2 linked regions of the Elephas maximus indicus genome follow. The protein of the gene in region 2 purifies or fractionates together with the protein of the main gene of each other region. This does not show direct contact. Links are inferred from orthologs where the notes say so. Each region holds a gene or a part of one and is shown on either strand. Other genes may lie near its edges.

What was found. The genes of interacting proteins can lie anywhere in the genome.
Region 1: the proteins of SOCS7 (region 2) and CUL5 purify together in Homo sapiens (affinity purification with mass spectrometry; 4 studies listed by BioGRID and IntAct, counting the BioPlex papers as one, with this or other methods). This does not show direct contact. The link is inferred for Elephas maximus indicus from reciprocal best matches to the Homo sapiens genes SOCS7 and CUL5.

Annotation. Positions count from the first base shown.
Region 1 is NC_064825.1:11,657,415-11,664,701, reverse strand, and holds the start of CUL5 (cullin-5), read left to right. Parts: upstream 1-4,264; 5' UTR 4,265-4,330; coding exon 4,331-4,354; intron 4,355-7,287. UniProt on the Homo sapiens protein: Core component of multiple cullin-5-RING E3 ubiquitin-protein ligase complexes (ECS complexes, also named CRL5 complexes), which mediate the ubiquitination and subsequent proteasomal degradation of target proteins.
Region 2 is NC_064837.1:45,971,270-45,978,297, reverse strand, and holds the start of SOCS7 (suppressor of cytokine signaling 7), read right to left. Parts: upstream 3,106-7,028; 5' UTR 2,902-3,105; coding exon 1,937-2,901; intron 1-1,936. UniProt on the Homo sapiens protein: Substrate-recognition component of a cullin-5-RING E3 ubiquitin-protein ligase complex (ECS complex, also named CRL5 complex), which mediates the ubiquitination and subsequent proteasomal degradation of target proteins, such as DAB1 and IRS1.

The DNA.
Region 1 (7,287 bases), on a different chromosome or scaffold from region 2:
GTTTACCTGTGTTTTATTGACTATGCAAAGGCATTCGACTGTGTGGATCATAAAAAATTATGGATAACATTGCAAAGAATGGGAATTCCAGAACACTTAATTGTGCTCAAGAGAAACCTGTACATAGATCAAGAGGCAGCTGTTCAAACAGAACAAGAGGATACTGTGCGGTTTAAAGTCAGGAAAGGTGTGTGTCAGGGCTATATCCTTTCACCATACCTATTCAACCTGTATACTGAGCAAATAATCTGAGAAGCTGGACTATATGAAGAAGAACTAGGCATCAGGATTGGAGGAAGACTTATTAATAACCTGCATTATGCAAATGATACAACCTTGCGTGCTGAAAGTGAAGAGGACTTGAAGCACTTACTGAAGTTCAAAGACCACAGCCTTCAGTATGGATTACACCTCAGCATAAAGAAAACAAAAATCCTCACTACTGGACCAATAAGCAACATCATGATAAACAGAGAAAAGACTGAAGTTGTCAAGGTTTTCATTTTACCTGGATCCACAATCAATGCTCATGGAAGCAGCAGTTAAGAAATCAAATGTGACACTACATTGGGCAAATCTGCTGCAAAAGACCTTGATAAAGTGTTAAAAAGCAAAGATGTCACCTTGAAGACTAAGGTGCGCCTGACCCAAATTACAGTGTTTTCAATCACTTCATATGCGTGTGGAAGCTGGACGATGAATAAGGAAGATCAGTGAAGAATTGATGCCTTTGAATTATGGTGTTGGCGAAGAATACAAAATATACCACAGACTGCCAAAAGAACGAACAAATCTGCCTTGGAAGAAGTACAACTGGAATGCTTCTCAGAAGGATGGCGAGACTACGTCTCACATACTTTGCACGTGTTATCAAGGGGGATCAGTCCCTAGAGAAGGACATCATGCTCGGTAGAGGGTTATCGAAAAAGAGGAAGACCCTCAACGATATGGGTTGTGTAGCCGCAATAATGCACTCAAGCATAACAATTGTGAGGATGGCGCAGGACCAGGCAGTGTTTTGTTTTGTTGTACACAGGGTTACTAAGAGTTGGAACCTAACAACGACAACATACTTGCTTTATTTGCTTTCTCAATTTTTCTATCCCTCTTCTGCTTTGATACATTTCAAAGTAAACTGCAAATATACCTTCACTTCCCCCTAAATTCAATATTAATATCATTAACTAAATTCTCAGGTGCACATTGTGTATTTCTTTCACAGCATTTATCACAACTCCAATTAAGGAATATTTGGTTTGTGTAACCATGCTTAACATCTGGCTCCCTGACTAGACCATAAGGTCCAAGAGAGCAGGGGTCTTCTGTCTTACTTAATCCTGCATTTCTGGTGTCTACTGCATAACAGATGCTCAAACAAGTATTAAATATTTAATGGGATTCTTTAAGTAGGGTCATTAGTTCATTTATTCATCAATTGTTACATCACATTTTGTCACCTCACTTCTCTTTTAGGGTGCATGCGTTGATTATAGTCTAACCTAGAGTCTTACATTTTAAATTAAGCAGTAGAACTGGACTAGGGTTGAGGATAACCCAGTTGCACTGGAAAACATAATTACATAAAGTTTATTGACTAGGCCTTTTTTGTGAGGCCAGCTGAGTAGAGGTGCTAACTAAGGCATGGCTGCTTGAACTAAAAAACTAAACCCATTGCTGTTGAGTCAATTCCGACTAACAGTGACCCTACTGGACACGGTAGAGCTGCCCCATAGTTTCCTAGGAGTACTCGGTGGATTTGAACTGCCGACCTTTCGGTTAGCAGCTATAGCTCTAACCACTATACCACCAGGGTTTCCATGGCCATTTGAGGAGGGCACTAATGAAAAGTTTGTATTGGCCATTGCAGTTTCCACCTCCAGATGTGAGAGATTATTCAGCAGTTTAAAACTAATTACCATAGGCACTATTTTCCATAGGAAGGCCCCTACAACTGAGTGATCTTGGCCAGGTCATCTCTATGAGCCTCAATTTTCTCATTTGTAGAACAAAGATGATCTCTTAAGTTTAGTCTCCCTTTGTTAACATTCTGCCAGGACATTATAGGCATTGTGGCTCTTAATCATTGTTCTATCACTCAGTAATTGTTTAAGTTTGACTAGGTTACTCTCTGAAGGAGCCCTGGTGGTGCTCTGGTTAAGCACGTGACTGCTAACCGAAAGGTTGGCAGTTTGAACTCACAAGCTGCACCACAGAACAAAGATGTGGCAGTCTGCTTCCATAAAGGTTAGAGCCTTGGGAACCCTATGGGGCAACAGGATTGCTATGAGTCAGAATCAGCTTGATGGCAATGGGTTTGGCTTTGGTTTTAGGTTACTCTCCATCAATTCATTTGGATTAAATGAGATTTCAAAAGCCTTCTAAACGATCTTCCTGTTTCTATTCACTACACAGTAGTCAGAGTAATCAGATTAAAATGGGTTCTAAACCCTGCAACGATTTCCCATCTCATTTAGAATAAAAGCCAGCAGTTTAAGGGGGCGCTGGTGGTTCTGTGGTAGAATTCTCGCTTTCCACGTAGGAGGCCTGGGTTCGATTCCCAGTCAATGCACCTCATGTGCAGCTACCACCCATCTGTCAGTAGAGGCTTTCATGTTGCTATGATGCTGAACAGGTTTCAGTGGAGCTTCCAGAGTAGGTAGCAGGACTAGAAGAAAGGCCTAGTGATCTACTTCCAAAAATCACTCATAGCGACCCTACAGGACCCACAGTTTCCAAGGAGCGGCAAGTGGATATGAACTGCTGACCTTCTGGTTAGCAGCCAAGCTTTTAACTACTGTGCCACCAGGGCTCCATAAAAATCCTATGCATCGCAATTGTCCAATCCCCAAATATTCTGTTTTGGGTCGGGGGCAAACCTGATGGTAGCTAAGAATAACAGTGGCCTACAAGGTCCTATGGAAACCCTGGTGGTGTAGTGGTTAAGTGCTATGGCTGTTAACCAAGAGGTCAGCAGTTCAAATCCACCAGGCGCTCCTTGGAAAGTCTATGGAGCAGTTCTACTCTGTCCTATAGGGTTGCTATGAGTTGGAATCGACCTGATGGCAGTGGGTTTGGTTTGGTTACAAGGTCCTATATGATCTCACTACTCTCCTTTCTCTCTCTGCTCCAGACACACTGACCTGTTTCTTGGATGCTCTGGGCACCCTGCCATCTCAGGTACATTCCCCTGCTTTTCCCTCTGTCTGGAATGCTCTTCCCCCACATATAGTATGGGCTGGCTCCCTTACCTCCTTCACATCTTTACTCAAACGCCATCTTTTCATTGAGGCCTACTCAGGCCACTTTACTTAAAATTACATCTTCATCCCCCCTTTTATTTTACTTCATAGCTCTTATTAATTTGTAACATATTATGAATGTAAGAATGAATACTGTTTGTAAACACATATAATACAATGCCAGCTATACTGTTCTCTGTACAAATTACATTCTCTTGTCTAGGCCAGTGGTCTGTGGTCTGAGGGGATAAAGCTTGAGGACTTAGGGTTCAGCATCTTTTAGGAAAATATGCCTTAATGCAATCCAGGACTAATACTCATTCCTCGACAATCTTTTACAGGATATCTAAGTGCCACGCGCTCTTGAATAGAAACATGAACAGTGTCACTTTGGTGCATTCATTCAACAAATATTTACTGGGCGCCTTGTCTGTGTCAGTTCTGACTGAAGACAGCTGCTACAAGCATTTCGGGATCACACAGTTCCATCCCTGAAAACCGAATCCCCAGATTGGGGACGGGGAGTGGGGGGAGCACGCCGGGAAACGCCGGGTCCCGCCAGCAGAGGGCGTACTCCAGCCCCCTACGCGGCCTCCGGTCCCACCAAGGCTCCAGGCTCCCACGCTCGCTCCCGTGCGCGCCCCCGCCCGCCGCGTCACGTGATGCGGCCGCGGAACCTGAGCTGTGGGGCCTAAACCGAGCTAATTTCGTTGCCGGTGGCCGCTGCGGGGGCAACCGTAAAGGCTAATCCGAAGGTGTGAGGGAGGCTCGTGGAGTCGATGCTTCCTCAACCACGTCAGGTCGGCTCCCGTTACCTTTTCACCATTCGCTGCTCTGGTCGCCCTGAGCGTTTGCATGAGCTCTTTCGTGTGGAGAAGCTCCGGTGACCATGTAGGCGGAAAGAGTAAGGAAGCTCCCGGTGCCTGGTCCAAGGTCAGCGCTGTCGGCACGCCGCTCCCGCGCCCACCACACCCTCGGTGCGGGGCCCATCGGCCGGTTGGCTCTGGTGGGAACTCCGGCCTCCAGTTGTGGCCTGGTCCAGCGCCCCACGAAATCTCGCGCTGTCTCGCGAGAGTGTAAGTTGAAGGAACATGGCGACGTCTAACCTGTTAAAGGTAAGACTCTCAATGCAGCCTGGCTTTTACTCTGTGACTGCCGGGTTCAGCTCTTCAGATAGGCTAGGTTCAGGTTCAGCAACGAGATGTGTGAGTGTCCAGGGGCTGCCCACCGGAAGGGAATCAGCTGCGACTGCCGCAGAGGAGCGGAACGCGGGTGCCTGGCCTTGCGGCCGAGAGGCTCTGGTTGTCCCTCCCGCCGGTTGCCCGGCGTGTGAAAGGCCCGGCTGCGGGCTGACGGGGAGCGGTGCTTGTAAGGGACCAGCTCTGGCCGGGAGGCTGAATGCTCGTACTGTGGCCTGAGGGATTGGGCCGTTAGTACTCGTGGGGTCTCAGTTTCTTCTGAAGCAAGAGTCTAAGACGAATAAAAAGAAAATCAGTAAAATGCTGCCTAACAGGTTTCAATGACCAGACCCCCATCTCCTCAATCCCTGTTTTCCTCATTTGTACGAAATTCCAAGTCAGACCGAGCAGTGCCTCCAACCCCACCCCCTTCCTCCCTCCCTTTTCCGCACGACGCACCTTCCCTCCTACCTCCCAGGCCCCTACCTCCTCTTCTTGAATTCTTGTTTTTCCTTAAGAAACTGCTCCCCCCTCCACTCACTCACCCCCGCCCCCATTACAGCACCCAACCAAATGACAGCTGATGAAGTGCTACCATCGTTTTAGGGCTTAGGAAAGTTACCTTATCAAAACGTTTAGTTTTATGTGTTTGGGATGGCAAGGTAGATCTAGGCCCAGAGGGACAGGTGCTCTACCGTCAGTTAAAAAGTTTGAAAGAGAATGAGGAAGACATGGTACTAATTCGTTCTGTGTTTGTGTTTATAGTTAGGAAACTTTTCCTTAAAAGCATTGACTGAAATGTGGATAGTGATCTGCTCAGGAAACATAAAAACAAAGGATAAACTGTTCCTCCCTCAGACCCATTATTATGCCTTCAGGCAGTGTGGATGGATAATAGAAAATAATATTAAAATATACCGGATGCTCACCTTTATGTCTTCTTTAGGCCACTGATACTGATTGCTTAATAGGTGAAACTGTCCTATAAAATGAAAACCTAATTTTACGAACTTAACAGGCAGTGTCTTGCCTTTTAAACTCGACTGCCTGAATTTCTGCAACTTACAAGCTGTATGGCTTTGGGGTAGTTTCTTAAGCCTGACTTATCAGTGAAAGGAGGTTATCAATAGCACCTATTTCATAGGAACATTGTGAAGATTAAATGAATTAATGTATGTAAAATGCTTTAAACAGTACCTGACACTTAATTCGTATACCCGTACCCGTTGACATCCAGTCAGTTCTGACTCATAGCAATAGTATAGGACAGAGTAGAACTGCTCCATAGAGTTTCCAAGGAGCGGCCGGTGGATTTGAACTGCCCGCCTTTTTGGTTAGCAGCCCAGCTCTTAACCACTACGCCAAACCAAAAAAACCAAACCCGCTGCCGTCTAGTTTATTCCGACTCATAGCAACCTTGTAGGACAGAATGGAACTGCCCCATAGGGTTTCCAGGGAGTACCTGGTGGATTCGAACTGTTGACCTTTTGGTTAGCAGCTGTAGCTCTTAACCACTGCGCCATCTGTTTCCACCACTACCCAAAAAAAAACACATAAATTACTGGAACTATTTCTCCATCTGTCCCGTTTCTTTAAGAACTAATTTACAGGAGTTGAGCATCCCATCCTACTCTGCTTTCTTTTTCTAACAGATGGTATAGCAGAGTTGTAATGTATTAGTCCAGAAAGAAATTCGTTAACTTCTGAAGACTATTGTTAATGCGTCAGTGTTTACTAGCAGTAGTGTATGTTATTAATCAAAATGTGTTTAAGAAATAATTGGGTTCCTACCTTGTGAAGTTTTTGACCTGTTGATTACCTGAATATGAGGCAAGCTCTCCTCCTTGCCCCCCCATACTCAAAAGAGTATTGTTTGAAGGAGATATAAAAAGTATTGTTTGGAGGAGATACAAATCTGAAGCTACTTTAAGTCAAAGTTAGTAAATGGTTACCATGTAGAGATTATGGATCTACATCTATGGGATACACATATAGAATGGAAAAACTGCCGTAACGTATGCAAAGTGGACATTTAGGCTTAGGTTAAAAGATCACAAGACTTCAAAAAGTGCTACAGTTCAAACAGCTTGTAAATAAAAGGAAGTTAACATGGTTTGAAGAAAACTGTTAGGGGGCTCAATCACTCTAGTGAACATGAAGACACAGATGCCAAAGATACATTGGAAAAATGTCAATAAAATTACTTTATAAAATGTTGACTAGGAAAAAAGCAGAATTTCTATATGAATATTATTTTATATGGTATGTGATGTAAAATCTGTATAACTAACTTACTATGATAGGTATTGTAAATAGACATTTGATTCTTTTATCTATATCCACAAAAGTTTATGTACTCAAGTTGGCCTGAAAACCTTTTTTTCCCTCTCCTCATTGGGAGATAGGGGGGATAGTCATATATTAAAAAGTAGATAATCATAAAATAGGAAGACTGAGAAGTTTATCTTTTTGGAGAAATGTAGTGAGACCCTGTCAGATAGATCTATAACATAATTCTTAGGAAACTTATATTCCTAAGTTTAATAGAGACAGGGCTGGCTAGGGAGTGATCAAATTAAAATTAGCCTCATTTTCTTTTTTGACAGGATTAATAGGCTTGTAGAATTCTCAGGAATGCCCAGTTTGGTTCCTGGCCAGTATACCTTAAGCACAGCCACCACCTATATGTCAGTGGAAGCTTGTGTGTTACTATGATGCTGAACAGGTTTCTGTGGCACTTCCAGACTAAGATAGACTAGGAAGAAAGGTCTGGCAATCTATTTCAGAAAATCAGTGAAGACCCTGTAGATCACAGTGGTCCCATCCTGTTGTACACGGGGTCACGACAAGTTGGGGGCCGACTCGATAGC
Region 2 (7,028 bases):
GATAGAACTCACTCTCCCATTTTACAGATGGAAAAAAAAAAGGGAAGAAGAAAACATGTTTGGCTCCCATCCCATAGCTGATGTTGGGGTTCCAAATGGAATCTGGACATTTATATTCTCCACACAACATGCTGGCTCCTAACAGCAGTCAACCAAACGTTTGTACACAAATACCTAGCTCTTCTTCAATTCATCAGAAAAAGCCCCTGGACCAAAAAATGTAATTCTCCAGTGCCCTGAACTAAGCTTCTTTGCAGAGCTACAGCCCAATTTGCTCTGCGGCAGACATCTGTATTGTGCTCAATATGAAGGTTGGTGACAGAGCAACCAATGACCATTAAATTCTGCTTCCAAAGGCAAAAAACCGTATAATGTTATATGCCTTTTCCTCTTCCTAATCTATTAGACGTAGCAGCTAATTTCACGTCACACCTCATATTTGGAGTCTCTAGAATCCTAGACCAAGTCCTGGTCAATATGGAACAAAGGCAATGCAAACCACAAGAAAATTAGCAATCTAACCTATGTCATTACCCATAGCTTCAATCCCATCCTCCCCCGATCTGATGAAAATTTCATCCCCACTGGCGAGTGGAGCATCAAATGCAGAGCCTACCACAAAAAAGCTATTGCAGCAGCCACACACTTTTCAAGACCTGAGCTCCCAGCATGAGTTCAGTGGGAGGCAAATGCAGAAATACTGGCCTACCTGAACCGGCAACAAGCATCGACCTACCGATTTCTTTAGGGAGTTTGAGTTTGGTCTGACACCCAGAATGAGCCCAGGGCACAGTTGTTCAGAAGGAGCAACAGAGGCAAATCAACCCCACACCTTCCTCCTGGAGGACCCAAGTTCCCTTGAAAAGAGAATTTCATGGATGAGTGATTCCCAGTCCAGGTCATACTTCTGGGGAGGATCAACTGGGAGGTTTTTTTTTTTTTTAATTCAAATTCTTGAGCCCTAGACATACTGATCTCATAAAGTCCCCCCCCCCAAGTGATTCTACTGCACAGTAAGGTTATCAATTTATTCATCCTGTTATTTAGCCCGGGCTTGTGGCTGCCAAGACATCTCGGGAATCTATCACATAAGCCACACCAACACCAATTCAAATCTAAGAACCCATCCAAAAGCACAAACCACAATGGCAGTTACCACAAGGGAAGTCTCATTTCATCGACACAAAAGTTGACAGCTTTCTAAACCAATACTGGATGTGTGAGAACAGTCCACGCTTCAGAAACACAGGAAAACAAGCAGCTCAATGTCTAAGTCTGGAATTTTCATCAATTGCCCTAGAGCTGACGTACTAATGTCTATACCTCATACTGAGAGTTCTCACATGGGCTTGAGAACAAACCTATTCTCTATTCTCACAGACACTGGTCAGCACACAAAAGCCTGGGACAGCCAGAAAGCATTAACTTTGAGTAGAGATGCCCAACTGATTACTGGCCCACAACTGCCCAAGTTCATCCCCTCATCTGTATGCATGAGTGAGGAAGGGGGTGAAGTGCTGGTACACAGACAGAATAACAAGCAAGGCGGTCAACATGCAACACCAGCTTTCTGCCCCAAAGGCCAAACGTTTACAGCAACCTCCCTACCAGGGGTAATTGTAATACCCAATTTGGAAAAGCAAAAAAGAAAAAGAAACGGGGTGGGTGCATGGTTTCAAGTCATCTCCAGACTCAAACCTTGCTAGTCAGTTGAGAAACATCATGAGGTGTGAACTCAAGGGTTAAAGTTGTTCCCACAATTTCCACCAGTTCCAAAGGGACCTAATGGAAGCTGTCACCATCTTCAGCCCTAAGTCTCTGCCACCTCCAGAACACCAAATCTTACGAATTGGCAGAGCGCCTGTTAGCAGTAGAAAAAAAGAGGAAATGAAACAAGAAAAGGAAGTTTGTCAGCCAGTTCCCCATGCGGTCTCACCTCCCCGCGTCCAGCTCCCGGCCCGCAGAGCCACCCATGTCTGTCAGGCTCGCAGCTGAAGCAGCCAGCTCTCCAGAAGGCCTCTTGCCGGTCCCATCACCACTGCCGGATCCACCGTTGCAGCTCTTCGTACGAAAGAGGCGACTGAGACGGATTTTGAGGGAGCCCTTCCGAGAAGGACCCGCGAGTGGCCGGAGGGGCCCCGGAGGCGGCGGGGGCGGGAGAGGTTGCTGCGGCTGCTCCCCTCTACTCAAGCGCGCTCGGGGAACCAAGTCCTGCAGCGGGAAGGGTACGGCGGGTAATTCGGGGCCTGGGGGCTGCAGCAGAAGCCGGCCGCCCCCTCCTCCTCCGCGGCCCGGGCTGCTGAGCTCCTCTTCCGAGCAGCTGTTAGTCTCCAGGCTCTCGGCCTCGGATTCCAAGCCCTCCAAGACCAGCAGCGCGTCGCTCGTCTCCGTGGGGTCCTCCCCGGCCTGCGGGGTGGCAGCAGGCGGCTGAGGCTGCGGAGGGGGCGGCTGCGCGGGGCACGGGCACGGGCAGCAACCCGCACCGACCATCTTGACCCCCGGCCCCGCCGGTTGCCCGAGCCCCAGAGCCGCCAACTGTGCCTCTAGTCCAGCCGCCGGGCCCCAGGTCCGCTCGTGCGCCAGCCCCGACGGCAGGGCCTTGGGGTCCAGAGCACAGCGGTGCCGGGGGCACAGCAGTTCCGAGGGTCCGGGCTCCGGGGCCGCCTCCGCGTCCTCCTCCTCCGGCGGCCGACCCACGTTGCGGAACACCATCAGCTGCGGTGGCCGGGAGCCCCGCGGGCCCGGCCGCGCGAGGAAAGGTGGTGGCTGGGGGCCATGGCCGGGGGGCGGCGGCGGCGGGCCTGGCTCCGGGGCCGCCTCTCCATAGCCGAGCAGGCGGCTCAGGACGCGGTACGAAGCGGCCGCCGCCGCCTCGCCATCCCGGAGCTCGGCCCCCTGCATCGGGGAGAGGGAGGGAGGGCGGGCGGCTGGGAGCCGGGCTGGGGTGGGGACTAGGCCGGGCCCCGCCGGAGCCCCGCCCGCCGCGGCCCCCGGAGAGACAGCGCGAACGGCCGCCGCGGCCTCTGCCTCATAGAGGGGGGCGGGGGGCGCGCGGAGCGCAGCGCGAGCCCAGGACGCGCGCCGCCGCCGCCGCCACCGAGGACCGCCCCCCGATGGCGTCACTTCCGGGAGGCCGTGGGCACGCCTTTTTCCTCGAGGGCGTGCTCGCGTCGCCTCCACGGCGCGTGACGTTGCGGGCGACCCGGGCCGCTATTGGACGTGAGCTGCCTCCATGCTGGCTGTTGGTCGTCTGCTTCGACCCTTGCTTTTCACTTCCCGGGTGCTGGGGCTCTGCCTAGCCCTCTCAGTAAGGTGCAGCGGCCCTGCAAGGCTGGTCTGGTCACGGCAGAGAGCCGCTGGCCTTGGGAACACCTCTGGTTCTGGTCTAGCCTATGTCGCTTGTGATGTATGACCTTGGCCGAGTCACTTCATCGTAAATTTGTTTCCCCGTTCCCTCACTCCTCACCCCTGGCCGCCAATGAATATTTGTTGAATGATAACATGAATATATGTGTTCTAGACCCAGGGGTGTGCTGATCATGTTCAATAACCGGTTCTCTGGTGGAGGAGTGTATGCATACAAAGGTATATAAGTTCATCATAAATTTTACTGATATAAAGGATGTGTGGTATAAAATTGAGAAATAACATACAATTGCAATGGGTAACCAACCTATGGTTGCAGTTGATCAAGGAGTATAGTTGTAGCGTGAATGCTGGTTGACATTTTCTTCTGTGTTAATGGAAGTGGAGAAAAAAATGACTGGATTGTCAGTGATGGGAGCCGCCTTGCTGAATCAGAAAGCAAGGGTTCAAATACAGGAGGAAGATTTCCTCAATTTCTGTGCCATTCACAATGTAACAGCTACCATATGACATTATGTTTAAATTTAACATGACATTATGTTTAAATTCAGTATGATACTGTGTTTAAATCTGAATGATTAATAGTTTCTCCATCCTTTGCTTCAATCTAGATAATCAACAAAACAATAAATCAAGCTCGATTTGTATCTCTGTTTGATTTCCCTGGTATAAATACGCCCACCGTGGCTGCTTTTGAGCTACCAGCTTGACTTTTTTGAACAGAGTTAGGAAGAAATGAGCAAATAGCATACCATTATATAATAGTGCCACCATACAACGGATATAAATAACCCCAAAGCATAGATAATAGTAAAATAATTAGTAAGTGGTGAGTTTTGAGAATTTATCATCTTTATTTTTTAATTTAATTTATTTCATTGTAATTTTATATAATTTTATAGTGGCTATGTTTAACAACCAGCTTGAAGAATTTCTGAAAATTTAACAGTTGGCTTTCATGAAATGCTACAGGCTGGTTCCCGAACACCACCAGGCTTCAATTTCCTCATCGGTAAAACAGATAAAGATTGCTGTTTTGCTTACTTGCAGGAATGTTACAAGGATTAAGGAAGATCAAGCTTGTTGGGTAAAGGAGGTGGGACTGGAGGCAGGGAGAGCAGTCAGGAATCCACTGCACTTGTCCCAGTGAGAGATGAAGAGGAGTGCAAGCAGGCAGGAAGGATCAGCAGAATTTAGCAACTTAAGTACCTGGGGGCGCAGCAAGGGGAAGAGGGTTGAGTCCTGCAGCGAGAGGGACACTTTCAAAATGAAAATTTATTCATACCCCTTGATTACAACAGTTCCTGTTTTCCCATTGCTCTTAGGATAAAGACAAAACTCCTTAAATCGGCCTACAGGGCCCTGTGTGGCCCCTGCCTCTTTCTCGCCATGTCTCCCACCAAGCTCCCCCTTGTTATCTCTCTCCTGCAGTCCCACCAACCTTGTGTCGGGCTCCCAGGCGTATGGCCACTGCGCAAGCTGTTCCCTTTTCTTGGAAGGTTTTTCTCTCTTTTTGCTTAGTCACCTCCCATTCATTCTTCAGATTGAACTCCCTTCTTACTTCTTCAGGGAAATCCTGCCTGGGCACTTCCTCCTCACCAAGCTCAGAGACCATTCCTTTGTCGCATTTAATTGCACAGGTGTAATTTGTCATTAAGGAGCCCTGGTGATGCAATGGTTAAAGGGCTCAGCTGCTAACCAAAAGGTCAGAGGTTGGAACCCACCAGCCAATCCACAGAAGAAAAGACCTGGCGATCTGTTTCAGTAAAGACTACAGCCTAGGAAACCCTATGGGTCAGTTGTACTCTGTTCTATAGGGTCAATATGAGTCAGAATCGATTCAAAGGCACACCACAACAATTTATTTTCTTTCCATGGGGTTGTTTGATGAGAGTCTGTCTTCCTTATGAAGCTATATGCTCCATGAGGGCAAGGGCCATATTTGTTTTTTGCCCATCATGGAGCCTTTGGTGTCAAAGACGGTGCCTGGCGCAGATTAGGCCGTTGATAGGTAAGTATGGAGCTGTTGTTCAACTTCAGGCATTGCAAAAGGCTCCTGATACAAATTCATGTCTAATTCTGCACAACAGAATATCTTTCCGTGCACATGAAGAAACTGAAGTTCAAAGAGTTACTTACCTAAGGTCAAACAAAAAAAAAGGTGCAGTAAAATTCAAAACCAGCTCTGCCTGACTCTGACTCCACAGATTTCATTCTCTACCCTCCCTCCCCTGCTACCTGTCAGGTGTTACTTAGGTTTCTAGCAGAAAAGAAGAGCAACTGCTGTAGGATCTCAGAACCCCTGAAGCCTAAGAGGCTACCTAAGATCCCGGACTGTCTCTGGGAAGCTCTGGCCCAAGAACAGAATCCCTGACAAAAGGCAAGGTTTCTGGCTCTGCACCGCCCTCTCCTGTCCAACTGCTTCCCTGGCCGCAGAAGAAAGCTATGTCCACCACCTTCACTTGCACCACCAGGGAACACACACGGGCTCTTTCAAAGGCTGAGTAAAGAATGCGGCATTTCTCATTTCCTTAATTTTCCAGCCTGTAGCCCAGGTCCTGGGAAAAGCATTGAAAATTAAGCTCTAAGCAAAGGAAGTGTATTTTTGTGCTTTATGACTTAAATGTGTGTTTGTTATGTCTATACATACCACTTTCATTAAGGGCTGTAAAGTGGTCCCAGCAGCGGTAGGATCCTAGTCAGAAAGATGCGTGAAAAACAACTTAGAGAATCTAAAGAAGTTCTGAGGTTCATTCAGTCAGTCAACGTTCATTGAGCACCTACAGTGCCCAGTGGGCTATGGTTTGTGGGTGCAGTGATAAGTGAGATGGACACTGTCTCTGCTTTTCTGGAGCTTGCACAGTCTAGTTTGAGTCCTAATCATGCCATTTCCTGGATGTATAACCAAGAGCAAATAATTAAACATCTTTGTATCTGTGTTTCCTTTGTAACAGTGGTTCAGTAATAGTCCCCCCCGCCCTTACAGGGCTGTTGGGATTAAATGAAAAATTATATGTAAAGGTGCTTAACAAATGCTAAAACACCATACATATGGTCATGATTACGGTAAACCTGTGAAAGCTGTAACCTGTGTAAGGTGGAAACCAGTCAGAGAAGGAAAACTCAAATATTTTCCACTAAAACAAGGGATAGAAAAGTGGCAAGACTGCACCCTGTCAAAGGTGGAAAACTTTCAAGACCCGGAAAAAACAAGGCAGTCCCATCAAGTTCCAGCTCTCACAAATTTCACTATATTATGAAAAGCTTTTGGGAGGGGGAAATCGTGTTAACTTAGTGTGATATCTTCACCCAGTGTTTTGTTGACCCTCAACTACCAATAAGCAGTAATAGCAGGAAGGTAGACTGGGTCACTGAATCCTCTTCATCCCTTGTCTCTGTTAGACACAGAATCAGAGACGTCAAGGAAGATCCCCAGCGTGCCAGTCACTAGCTTTGTGGGATGTCACCTTCCTCTCAGGGTTTTAGTTTCCTTTCTATTAGAAAAAGGCCTGGACTGTGGGCCCTTCTAGTTCTGACATAGCAGGGATTCTCCTGGGGGCTTGACCTCTAACCCCAGCCCTTATCCTCACACTTAGGATTCCACAGCAGAACTGTTGTTTGCAGAGGCCATCTATAAAGCATGAGAAGTTTTCAGCAACACC